3 linked regions of the Cricetulus griseus genome follow. The protein of the gene in region 2 purifies or fractionates together with the protein of the main gene of each other region. This does not show direct contact. Links are inferred from orthologs where the notes say so. Each region holds a gene or a part of one and is shown on either strand. Other genes may lie near its edges. The genes, in order: Traf3ip1, Ift57 and Ift172.

The links.
Region 1: the proteins of Ift57 (region 2) and Traf3ip1 purify together in Homo sapiens (affinity purification with mass spectrometry; 3 studies listed by BioGRID and IntAct, counting the BioPlex papers as one, with this or other methods). This does not show direct contact. The link is inferred for Cricetulus griseus from reciprocal best matches to the Homo sapiens genes IFT57 and TRAF3IP1.
Region 3: the proteins of Ift57 (region 2) and Ift172 purify together in Homo sapiens (affinity purification with mass spectrometry; 3 studies listed by BioGRID and IntAct, counting the BioPlex papers as one, with this or other methods). This does not show direct contact. The link is inferred for Cricetulus griseus from reciprocal best matches to the Homo sapiens genes IFT57 and IFT172.

The regions. Positions count from the first base shown.
Region 1 is NC_048595.1:443,047,129-443,050,645, reverse strand, and holds the end of Traf3ip1 (TRAF3-interacting protein 1), read right to left. Parts: intron 3,362-3,517; coding exon 3,138-3,361; intron 2,321-3,137; coding exon 2,155-2,320; 3' UTR 587-2,154; downstream 1-586.
Region 2 is NC_048597.1:41,461,508-41,465,257, reverse strand, and holds the start of Ift57 (intraflagellar transport protein 57 homolog), read left to right. Parts: upstream 1-1,022; 5' UTR 1,023-1,145; coding exon 1,146-1,357; intron 1,358-3,612; coding exon 3,613-3,750. UniProt on the Homo sapiens protein: Required for the formation of cilia. Plays an indirect role in sonic hedgehog signaling, cilia being required for all activity of the hedgehog pathway.
Region 3 is NC_048600.1:13,095,447-13,099,196, reverse strand, and holds the start of Ift172 (intraflagellar transport protein 172 homolog), read right to left. Parts: upstream 2,612-3,750; coding exon 2,573-2,611; intron 1-2,572. UniProt on the Homo sapiens protein: Required for the maintenance and formation of cilia. Plays an indirect role in hedgehog (Hh) signaling, cilia being required for all activity of the hedgehog pathway.

The sequences.
Region 1 (3,517 bases), on a different chromosome or scaffold from region 2:
GCTGCATAGACCAGGCTGGTCCAGCCCCTGAGGACGCCCCTTTGTCTCCCATCCTGCTGTAGGAGCTCTGGGACTGCAGATGTGAGTTACCACATCTGGCTGTTTGATGCGGGTTCTGGGGTCCCTTCTCAGGTCCTCGCACTTGCACAGTGAATACTTTACTCACTGGAACATCTCCCCACTGCACCCCAGGCGACTTGAACACATTTCTTCCAGGCTCGGATTAACGTCAGCTGAATCTGTAACTTCACAGATGGAGTTACACAATACCGTGTAACTCCATCCTTCTAGAAACTTATAAACCAGCGAGGGAAACACCTAGGAATTCTACTTCTGTACTCTCTCAAAGTAAGGTCAGGGCTTAATGTGTATATCCCCAAAACAAAGACAGTCACAATACAGGCCTTCAGAAATGCCTCATGCCATCTTAAACCTTCTAGCAGAAGAGGAGCGAGCTCACAAAGTGTCAATCACTACAGGAAAAGCATTGTGTCACAGTCTGGATGAGAAGCTATTTCCCCTGGACACATCTGAAATTAAAAGTCCAAAAGCTTACATTTTTTTATCAACTTGACAACCCATACACTTATAGGAAAAATAGGTGATTATTTTAATGATTTATGTAAAAAAGAAAAATAAAACTTTATGATACAATCTGATAGACTACAGCATATAAAATTTACTCACATACAATGTATGTAATTTTTGCAACATAAAAATTCTATTCATATATACAAATTCATAAAAGGTTATGAATATATATATGTCTTAACTTGGGCTACAGAGGGTCCACTTACAGTTATGGCTAAGCCATTCACTTTAGTAGAAAAGAGATTATCAACATAAAAAAGACTAGTTGACTACAAGCCTTCCCTTCCCATCCCCCTCAAACTATTCAGAAGGATCTGGGTGGGAGAGAAGTGTGGTGTGCTTCAGCCAGGAGAAAGACTACCCACTGAAGGAGTCTCCACACTGTGGCAACAGCCCCAGGCTGAGGGCTGGGCCGCTGCTTTTCACTGACTGAGAAACAGTAACTGTGCCACATGTGCAAGCCTTCAGGAAACAATGTGCTCAGGGCTCGCCTTCGTGAACATAATAAATACTCAGAAACGTAAGGACCATCTCAGACCTTAAGCCACAAGAACATCTCCAAAGCCTGAGATCCTTTAGACAATAATTCAAGACCTTTATAAGTATTTACAGTATTTTACGTTGGCGAAAACTGAATATAAACCATAAAAACTATGCTTTAAAAAAAAAGGACCTTTAGAAAAGGAAAACAAACGCAACTGTGAATTGGTATGCTGTCTTCCTTGCAGTCTCCCTCTCTCCCAGCTCTCAGTGCACACACCTACACAGAAGAAAAGGGCTGTGCTGCCCTTCATGTTACAAAGTCCTAGGAGGCCTGGGGGACTGCTTATCCACCAGAAGAACCCTGGAGGCTGAAGAAAGCCAAGGAGGTGAACAGCGACAGTTTCCCATCAGATGGATCCGTGAAGGGCAGACTGATTTTCAGCATATGAACTGCCAGGAAGGCAGACGGCAGGGCCATGAGAGACTGCAGGAAGATGCAGGTATGATAGTAAGGGCAGAAACCCTGCACAGGTGACAGGCACCTTTCAAGGACACCGGCTGGAATACCCCTTTCAGGTAGAAATGAAAGTGAAATTAATCGTTTGAGGCCTTGTTCTCTTTCTATTTGTAAAGTACACACCACAAAGTCCACAGTCACCCTTTGCTCGGTGCTGGTAGGAAGTCCTTCTGGGAGACTCAGAAGCAGAATAAAGGCCTGCAGTTTCCCCAGTAGCATGACACAACTTACCTGCTAGAAACTTTGGGTACAGGATTAAACAGGCTGCAGCAGAAAACATTTGCCAAAAAAGAAAAAAACAAACAAACAAACAAACAAACAAAAAAACCCAGAGAAATAAGCCCTCCCACAAAGGCAAGCTGAAAACTAAAGTAGCAAGTACTGCAGCTGGAAGTAAAAAAACACAGCCTTTTAATAAGTTTAGTGCCTAAACCGAAAGCTCTGACTTTAGCTGGGTCCAGGCATCTGCAGTCCATGCTCTCAGCAGACTGGGGCAGAATGTCTGTCTCCTTCCCCTTCTCCCATCATGAGGAAGACGGCTCCATCTCCGCAGGGCTGGCTGTTCACCTTCGTGACGTCAGGTTGATACTGTGCACCATTTTCTGGATCTTCTCCTCATTCTTCAGGATGTTGGCCTTCACAGCACAGATCTTGTCCTGCTGGTCCCTGATCTGCTGCTCCAGCTCAGATAGCTCTGCCTTCAGGGGCTCCACCGCACTGTCCGTGATGCTGGGGGGAGACAACCAGTAGCTCATCAGTGTCCTGAGGGTTCTGTCTGTACTGCTCCCTCCAGCAAAGTGCTGACTTCACCAAGAAAAGGGTTAAGTGCCAGACCCCAGGCACCACTTACAACTGCCAGGCCTGTGGTGCAACCAAGCCTGAAAATGCCAATCACTTGTTTTCTTCCCACAGAACCAGGGAGAGAACCCGAGCCTCATGCTAGGAAGGGACTTTACTACAGAGCTGTTTCCCTAGCCCATATGAGATTCCCTTTCAAAAGCAAAATGAAAAGGAGCTACTATTTCCTCAGTGACAGGCTTGAAGTCCTTGAAGCACACACACACAAAAGACCAAGGGGCAGCAGGGAAGTGGGCTACCAAGTCCCCACAGACACTGGGCTCAGCCTGGACCAGCCAGGCGACACCTCTCCTCTGTTTTTCTGTAACATGGACTTACAGACGTACCACTCAGTCAAATCGTATGTTCTGAAGAAAAAGCCACATGTTAACAGTCATGTGCTTCTAGATTTACTGATTACAAACGCAGGGGACCTTTCTAAATAAATGTCCTTTAAATAAAACAGCTTTCCAAATAAACCTCACTTCTCAGTGGCTAGTCTATTTCTTTCAGTTACAATTTTGGATGAGTTCATCAGTATCTCGTTCAGATCCCCCACCTCTCCCCTTCTGCAGCCCCACCCCCTCCCTTCTGCAGCCCACCCCTCCCTTCTGCAGCCCCACCCTCTCCCTTCTGCAGCCCCCCCCCTCCCTTCTGCAGCCCATCCCCTCCCTTCTGCAGCCCCACCCCCTCCCTTCTGCAGCCCCACCTCTGCTCCTTGCTCAGGGCCTCAGCGTGCTGCCTGTTCTCACTGTGCCACAACTGCAGTTCATTCTGCATGGCGTCGACGTCCTCCTGGATGTAGTCCATGATCTTTCCCAGGGGAAGTGCACTCTTACACAGGGTCTGGATGGACACTCTGAGCTTCTCTATCTCCTTGGAAACAATGTCCTTCTCCTTCTTCCATGCTGACTCAAAGAGGAGTGAGCGCTCCTTCAGTTAGGGGAAGGAGGAAGAGAAGGTCTTTAGGAGTGAGCTAGGCAAGTTAGAGGCAGCACCCCAAGTGGGTTCCAAGAAAGGAAAACCTGATGAACTGAACTTATCAGAAACTGTTTATTCTGCAGAGTCCCCAAGAAGCTGAAAGGACAA
Region 2 (3,750 bases):
GGAAAAAAATGTGATTCTTCTACATTCTTTAGAGAGTCATACAAGATGTAATGATGCCTTGACAGCCACAGGATTAAACTAACAAATGTTTGACCTCTTGCTTCTGAGTTATCTTTTAAGAAGTGGCTGAGCAGCTACTTGGCTTCGCTTCTTATTTTAACTGTTAGTAAAACTGCCTGATGGGCTATTTTCTTAGCATTGTAAGAATAACTTACACTAGTGGTCAGTTACATCTCCTTTGTATTTTCTAGGTCAATACCTGAAGACATAACAGCAAAAATGCCCTTATCAACCATAAGCGCTGTCACACAGACGTTCCTTTCCAAATAGTGCGTTTTGTTGGATTGCGCTTCTACTCACGAATTTACGTCTGCATAGGTTTGAAACAGATTAAGCGGCAGGATGTGAGGGTGGCACAAATACTTCCCCAAACCCATTCTTACCACTTCAACTTCCACGTGCCCCTCCCCCCGCCACCCTCTTTCAATCAACCACTTTCTCCATTGAAGACAGGGTCATAGTAAGACCTCAAGCCTTATTTAGAATACTCTATTCAATCTAGCACTACCTAACAAACTATTAAGTTAAGAAATAGAGAAAGCAGTCTTGTGGTTGGAATTTCCGAGGTACCTTGAAACTAATGACAGCGAGTTTCACAACTACTACGAAAACTAAGGATCAGTGGGAGAGTAGCCTCCAGCACTGTGTTCCGCTTCATTTCAGTCCTTTGAATTGCTACCCAGGTGACCAGACATTCACCAGCCCCGAGCAAACAACCAGATCCTGCTCTTCTCTAGGCTGCACTAGGTTTGCAGAGCCAAACAGCCGCCAATCCTTCGCCTTTAAGGCGCGAGGGAGAGAGTTGCCAGAGAGGCTGGGGAAGGGTCGCCACGCCTATTGGGCGGGTCTACCTCCCAGCCTGGGGGCGGGGATAGCGTGACGTCAGTTAGGAATCCAGCTCTGGTTGGCCAGAATTTAGAGGGGCCGTCTGGGCGCGAAGGAGGCGGGGTGTGGTTGCCGTGGTGACCGGCGGCCCTGCGGTCGCCAGGTAACGGTGGCGGCTGTGTGGGCTACGCGGTGCTGGCGGCTGAGGCCGCGGAGATCCTGGCCCGAGCCCACGCCGGGCTCTGTGGGTCTGAGCTGCGATGGCTGCGGCGGCAGCAGTGATCCCGCCGACGGGCTTGGAGGATGGGGTGTCTCGGGCTCGCGGGGAAGGCGCAGGGGAGGCGGTGGTGGAGCGCGGGCCCGGCGCGGCCTACCACATGTTCGTGGTGATGGAGGACCTGGTGGAGAAGCTGAAACTGCTCCGCTACGAGGAAGAGCTCCTCCGAAAGAGCAATCTGAAGCCCCCGTCCAGGTGCGTGTCTTGTCCCCGGCGCCCGGTGCTGGCTGGGCCCAAGGGGACGCACTTCTCTAGAGGAGAAGACCCTGAGTTCTGATCCGCACATTGCCTTCCTGTGTCTTCCTTGCCCAGGAAGAGAACTTGTGCACAGAGGAAGGTGAAGTTTTCAGACTTGGTCATTTTGTGGAGAAAGTAAACAAGTTTTGTAATGGCAGGGAGGCCCGGGGAAGACAGCCTACCCGTTCTTTAAAACAGTTAAGCACCTCAACCAAACACAAATCTTATTTTAAAGGTAATAAAACACCCATAGTAAAAGGTAAACGCGATAGAAAAACTGATCTATTAATGCCATTATCATTGAGATCTCTTTGCAGTTTTTGTTTTCCTTTGCTAGACTTTCTAAACGAACAACTGTGTACTTCAGGCCTCCTGAGGAGCAAAACATGTAGACTAGTTGCGATGGTTCAAAAGTCTTAATGCTTTTGCAGCAACAGTACTCTTAGAAACTGGAAAGTGGAGAAGGCAATGAAAATGAAAAGTGTTCTCATATAGAACCTAACGACCCGGTGCTTGATGGAAAAATGTTCGGGAATATCAGGAAGTCAGAGCCATTAGTTGCCTGAAGTGAGAGACAGCACCCTCTCATGTATTCATGATACCTTGGTGATAACTGTGATTTATTGCTGTTCCTTTATTGTTGGTATTTATTTGTTTTGTTCTGTTAGAAGCAAATAAAAAGAATTGTCAAGGGTGCTTTCTTTTACTGTCTACAGGTAGGCTCAAATAAATTCTCTTGACAGTTTTCAGTTCTTGTCATCTTCCAGACACTCATGTTGAAAGATACTTAGGCTTTTATGCAAACTGTCCATAACACAGAGTTAGTCTGTAAAAGGAGAAAAGTTAGAGAAGAAAGTTCATCTTGATCCTGATCCATGATTAGAAGTTTTAGGATTGGATTATTATTTAAAATGAATTGATGATAATAACACAGATGGCCAACACTTTAGGTGTTCTGAAAACTGTTAATTTTTTTCAAATGCATTTGTCAAACAAAAGGAAACTGGCCTATGCTATTATTAATATCTTGCTGTACTAAATCTCAAAGGGTGAGTGAGACACTTCGTGCCATGGATTTGTGTGGATGTATTCTAGCCAGTGGTTCAAGGTGTCAGCATCACCTGGGAATGGAGGCCCTTGTCCAGGTCTGCTTTTTCAGAGTTCTGGAAACAAAGTGTTTCACCAACCCCTCTGGGTGATTCTGATGTACCTCGTGCTTGAGAACCACCTTCACAGGCCCCTGTGTCACTGTTCATTCCTCTGTCGGTGAGGAGTGCCCATTGATAAAGAAAACACAGTTGTTGGTGGAGAGATCCTTTATAAGCCTATGCCTGAAAAGACTTCATAACCCTTTAAAATTTCCTCGATTTCTATTTTCTTCTAGAACATTTATATTTTCTTGATAGAAAATAGAAGTATAGACCACTGATTCCTATGTCATAATTGAATATGTATATACACATAATCTGTGTAATAGTGATAGCGCAAAGAAAGCAAAGCAGATCTCTGATTCAACTTTCTTGAGTGATGTTACTTAGACCTTTTATGCCCTCTATGGCTCTGTATAAATCATATCCTCATTGGAGGATATTTAGTATAATAAGGGGTTTAGCAAAATTCAGCAGTTGTGATCCTGGGGGATGTGTTCTTAGTTCTTGCTGCACCCCTGGACCATCTAAGTTGGGAACTTTTGAAATGCACTTGTGATGTGTTCTGTTCCCACAAGTTGTGATTATCCATGAATGGGGGAAGCCCAGGCTTTCGCCATCTAGTAGTACTTTTAGGAACTGGTTTGAATATACAGAAAATATGGAAACAGCTGTTTGACATAGCTGATAGGTTACAAACAGCAAAAACATGGTAAATTATTAGTGCTTCTTAAATTCCAGGAGTCTCATAATTCAGAATTACCTTTTTTTTTTTTTTAGGGGAAATTCACTTATAAGCAAGCAATTAATCAAGTTCTACAAAAGCATCATGTATTTATTTTCCAAAATATACTTCCTTCCATTCCCTGGTTGTGTACTTTGTATACAGTAGTGACTGATTGAAAATTTTGTGAGTGCTGCAAATCTCTAGATAGTTCCAGAGTGTTGGTGAAGGCTGCTTGGGGGCATATTTAGCAACTGTGGACTTGACTGTGTTACTTACTCCTAGCTGATTTGCTTTATCTCTCCCTTTCTCCCTTCCCATTCTCCCTTGCTTTGAAACAGACACTACTTTGCTCTGCCTACCAACCCAGGTGAGCAGTTCTACATGTTTTGCACTCTTGCTGCTTGGCTGATCAACAAAACAGGGCGTACCTTTGAGCAGCCTCAAGAATACGACGATCCCAATGCAACTATATCTAA
Region 3 (3,750 bases), on a different chromosome or scaffold from region 2:
CAGCTGCACCATAAAATCATCTTTTTGTTAAGAGACCAAAGAGTTCTATTTCCAATTTTTCCATTAGGGGATTTTGAAAATACAGATTACAGCACCAGTTTACTGAACAAGGAGTACAACTTTTTATTGTTCTACCACTGAGCCAGGGCTCCATCCCCTACAACTCTCCTTTCTTCTAATTGACTTCTACTCTCAGTGCACTCCAAAAACATCCCAGAGTCCCATAACCAACGGATTCGCCTCTCTTTGCAATAAGTGCCCGACTGGCATGTCTTGAGGATTAAGTGAAACAGGTAGCAGGACAGACATTTTCATAAGTGCTTGACACCCAGTAAGTACCAAATATCATATCTCTGAGAAAGAAGTTATTATTATTCCCATTTTGTATATGGGGAAACTGAGGCACTGAAAATTAAGAAAGTTGCTCAGATTTATGTAGATAGCTTTTAGATGACAGATGCAATATTTGAATCTATGTATGTTTGATTCCATGAGCTATAAATCTAATGTCTTTAATTATGCTATCATGGTATATATGTATTAATGACTTAATTCTGCCATATAATTTTATTTATTATTGTCATCATTATTATTATTTTTGAGGTAGGGTCTCTCTATGTGGTTCTAAAACTCACTTTGTAGACCAGACTGGGATTGAATTTACAGATATCTGCCTGCCTCAAGGCACGATGCACCATGCCTCACTATTCTTTTATTTTTTAAATCCCCCCCAAGACAGGGTTTCTCTGTGTAGCTTTGGAGCCTCTCCTGGCCCTCACTCTGGAGACCAGGCTGGCCTCGAACTCACAGAGATCTGCCTGCCTCTGCCTCCCAAGCACTGGGACTAAAGTTGAGCACCACCACTGCCCAGCTCCACCTTAATTTTTTATTTTTATTTATTTTTGTTGACAGGGTCTCTCACTGACCCTGGAGCTCATAAATTTGGCTAGGCTGGCTGGGCAATGAGCTCTAGGGACCCAACCGTCTCTGCCTCCCCAGTGTGACTGGTTTTTAAGTGGATGCTGGAGATCTGAACTCAGTTTCTTGAGCTTATGGAGCCATGGCCTCACAGCCCACCTTCTTATTTGTGTTGTTAGCCTGTCCTTCCCATTTCCATGGCCTTCCCTTGTGTCTACCATTCTTCACACAGCTTTTCAGTTTATAATGCTCTTTAAATCGTTTTCCTTACACTTTCACGACACAGAGCAACAATAGGGCTTCCAGAAAGAGTCCCATTTAAGGCCCAGTGTCAACAGTGCAGCAGAGACCAGGGGCCTCAAGCCAAACCAATGATTCTTTGCAATGAATGCCTGAATGTAAAGATGACTGGATAAAGGGGTTTGATGCATGACTCAGTTTGTTCTCCTACAGCTTCCATGATGAGACTTTTCCTTTCTTTGTTTCTTCTTCTTTTCCTTTTTCTTTTAATCTTAAAATTTGTTTTATTGGGGGAGAGTTTGAAGGGCAGAGAGCAGATTAGAGGGGACAGGAGATGGGTGGGATCTGGATGTATGGTGTGAAGACATAAAGAATCAATAAAGAAAAAAAATGTTTTTCCTGCTTGGCAGTGGTAGCACAGGCCTTAATCCCAGCCCTTGGGACACAAAGGCAGGTGGATCTCTGTGAGTTTGAGACTAGCCTGGCCTACAGAGTTCCAGGACAGGCTCCAAAGCTACAGAGAAACCCTGTCTTGAAAACCGCGCCCCCCAAAGTTTTTCCTTAAATTTGTTTATTGTGTGTGGTAAGGTGGTGCATGTGTGTCGGTCAGAAGACAACTTTCATGACTTGGTGTTTCCCTTCAAACTCAGGTAGGTCAGGCTGAGTGGTAAGTGCCTGTAACTATCTATCCATCTCACTGGCCCAATTTTTTTCTTTTTTCAAGATAGAATCTCATGCAGCCCAGGCTGGCCTTGAACTCTCTATGTAGTCGATAATGGCCTTACACTCCTGACCCTCCTGTGTCTACTTCTCAATTTCTGGGATTATCGGTCTTCAGTGCCACCAAGCCCAGCTTATTGTGTGCGTGTGTGTATAGGACTTCATTTAACTCTCTCCTAAGTCTCTCAGAGTTACTCTTACTGTGGCTTTTCTTTCCCAAATGAAGAAGCCAGTGATAGAAAGACCACGTATGATGAGGGTTAAAGCCAGAGATAACCATTTGATCAAATCAGTGCTATACTTGAACTCCGTTCCCTTCACTCCCAAACCTCTTCTTCCTTTATGTTCCTGGACTCCTTCCCCAGCCTCTTGTGAATACGAGACACACTTTCACAATCAAAATGAAGGTTTGGCCTTGCACTTATTTCATCCTGTGTAGATTTATGATTGTTGTCTATATATGCGCCTCTCCCTCATAGCCTGTGACGCAACTCGATCCTTTAGAGCCTAAGCTTGGGGCCTGGCACTCATCTGATGTTTGTGATGCAACGAAACCGATGCATGTTGCCTACTGAAAGATCTTTCACAATCTTCTGCACACAGTAGGCGCTCAACATAAACTTCTGTTCCCCCACTTTTTTTTTTTTTGGAACGCCGGGTGGCCGGGGAATGGGAGAGGCACGCGATTCCTCACCTGAGGGCTCAGCAGGGTCCTCAGGTGCTTCAACTGCATGACGCGCACGAGTCTCAGATGCTCGCTGACCGAGACAACTCCCGCGGTTACCTGGACAACCCGCCAAGCAGCGGCGTCGCCAGCCGCTGACGCACGGGAGACGTGAGTGCGACACACGTCATGAGGTCACGTAGTGGGTTCGCGACAATGCAAGCAGGACATGCGCAAGCGCAGTGAGTCCTAGAAGAGGGGTTGTCGAATTCTCTCCTCAACCAATCCCGTTGCTGCATGCAAACCCAACGCAAAGCCCCACCCACAGGTCTTCGTCTGTCCCCGCCCTCCCCAGCCCCGCCCCTCGACCCTACATCCCTTTAACCCTAGTTTCTCTCACTGCTGTGTTCAGCCAAGTGCGCTTTAGTTGCTTAAACTTTGGACAAGAGCAAGGCAGGTGCTACGGTAGGAGAAAGCCAATTTGCTGAACTGCAATCTTCATCTGCCCCCACGCCTCGAAAGTTGCACGAGGCCGCTCAAAACTGATAGGTAATAGTGAATGCTACCTGCCTGAAGTGGACAGAGGTACAGTCCCGTTTTACACAACAGGAGGGGTCACAGCTAGTAAACTGTGGAACCGGGATTCAAGGCAGAGCTGATATCCTTTTAATTCCTGTAAGACGATTCAAATCTTAACTCATTGTCTCCATGTTCAACTTCTCTCCCCTGTAACAGTCTCAGGAAATGATCCGGGGTTTTGAGGGATGTGTTGGAAGCACCGGTAGGGAAACGCAAGGCACCCTATTTGGCTTTTGGGTAAATGGTGAGTTCAATCTTGACTTATGGGTCAGCGCAGCGGACAGACAGAGCTTGGCCGCCCTCCTAGCTTGGAGCTGTGTGACATTGGAGTTGGAGATTGGCTCAGAAAAGATACCGTTGTCTTTATTTTGTTTGATCGGGATCCTTTCAAAAATTTTTTGTTCTAATTTCTTGCAACATATCAGAGAAATTGCATGAAATGCAGAAAAGGAGATTTCCGTAGGCCTTCTCTGTCTAGACTGTCCCAGATTGGCAAGACCTATACCCCACTAAAAGCATAACATATGCTCTCCAGACAGAAGCTGGGTCCCCAAGCTTTGCATGCACACCAGTTGCCAATGGCAACAAATATTTCTCTCCCCGCCGCTACCTCCCTCTTGAAAAATCAA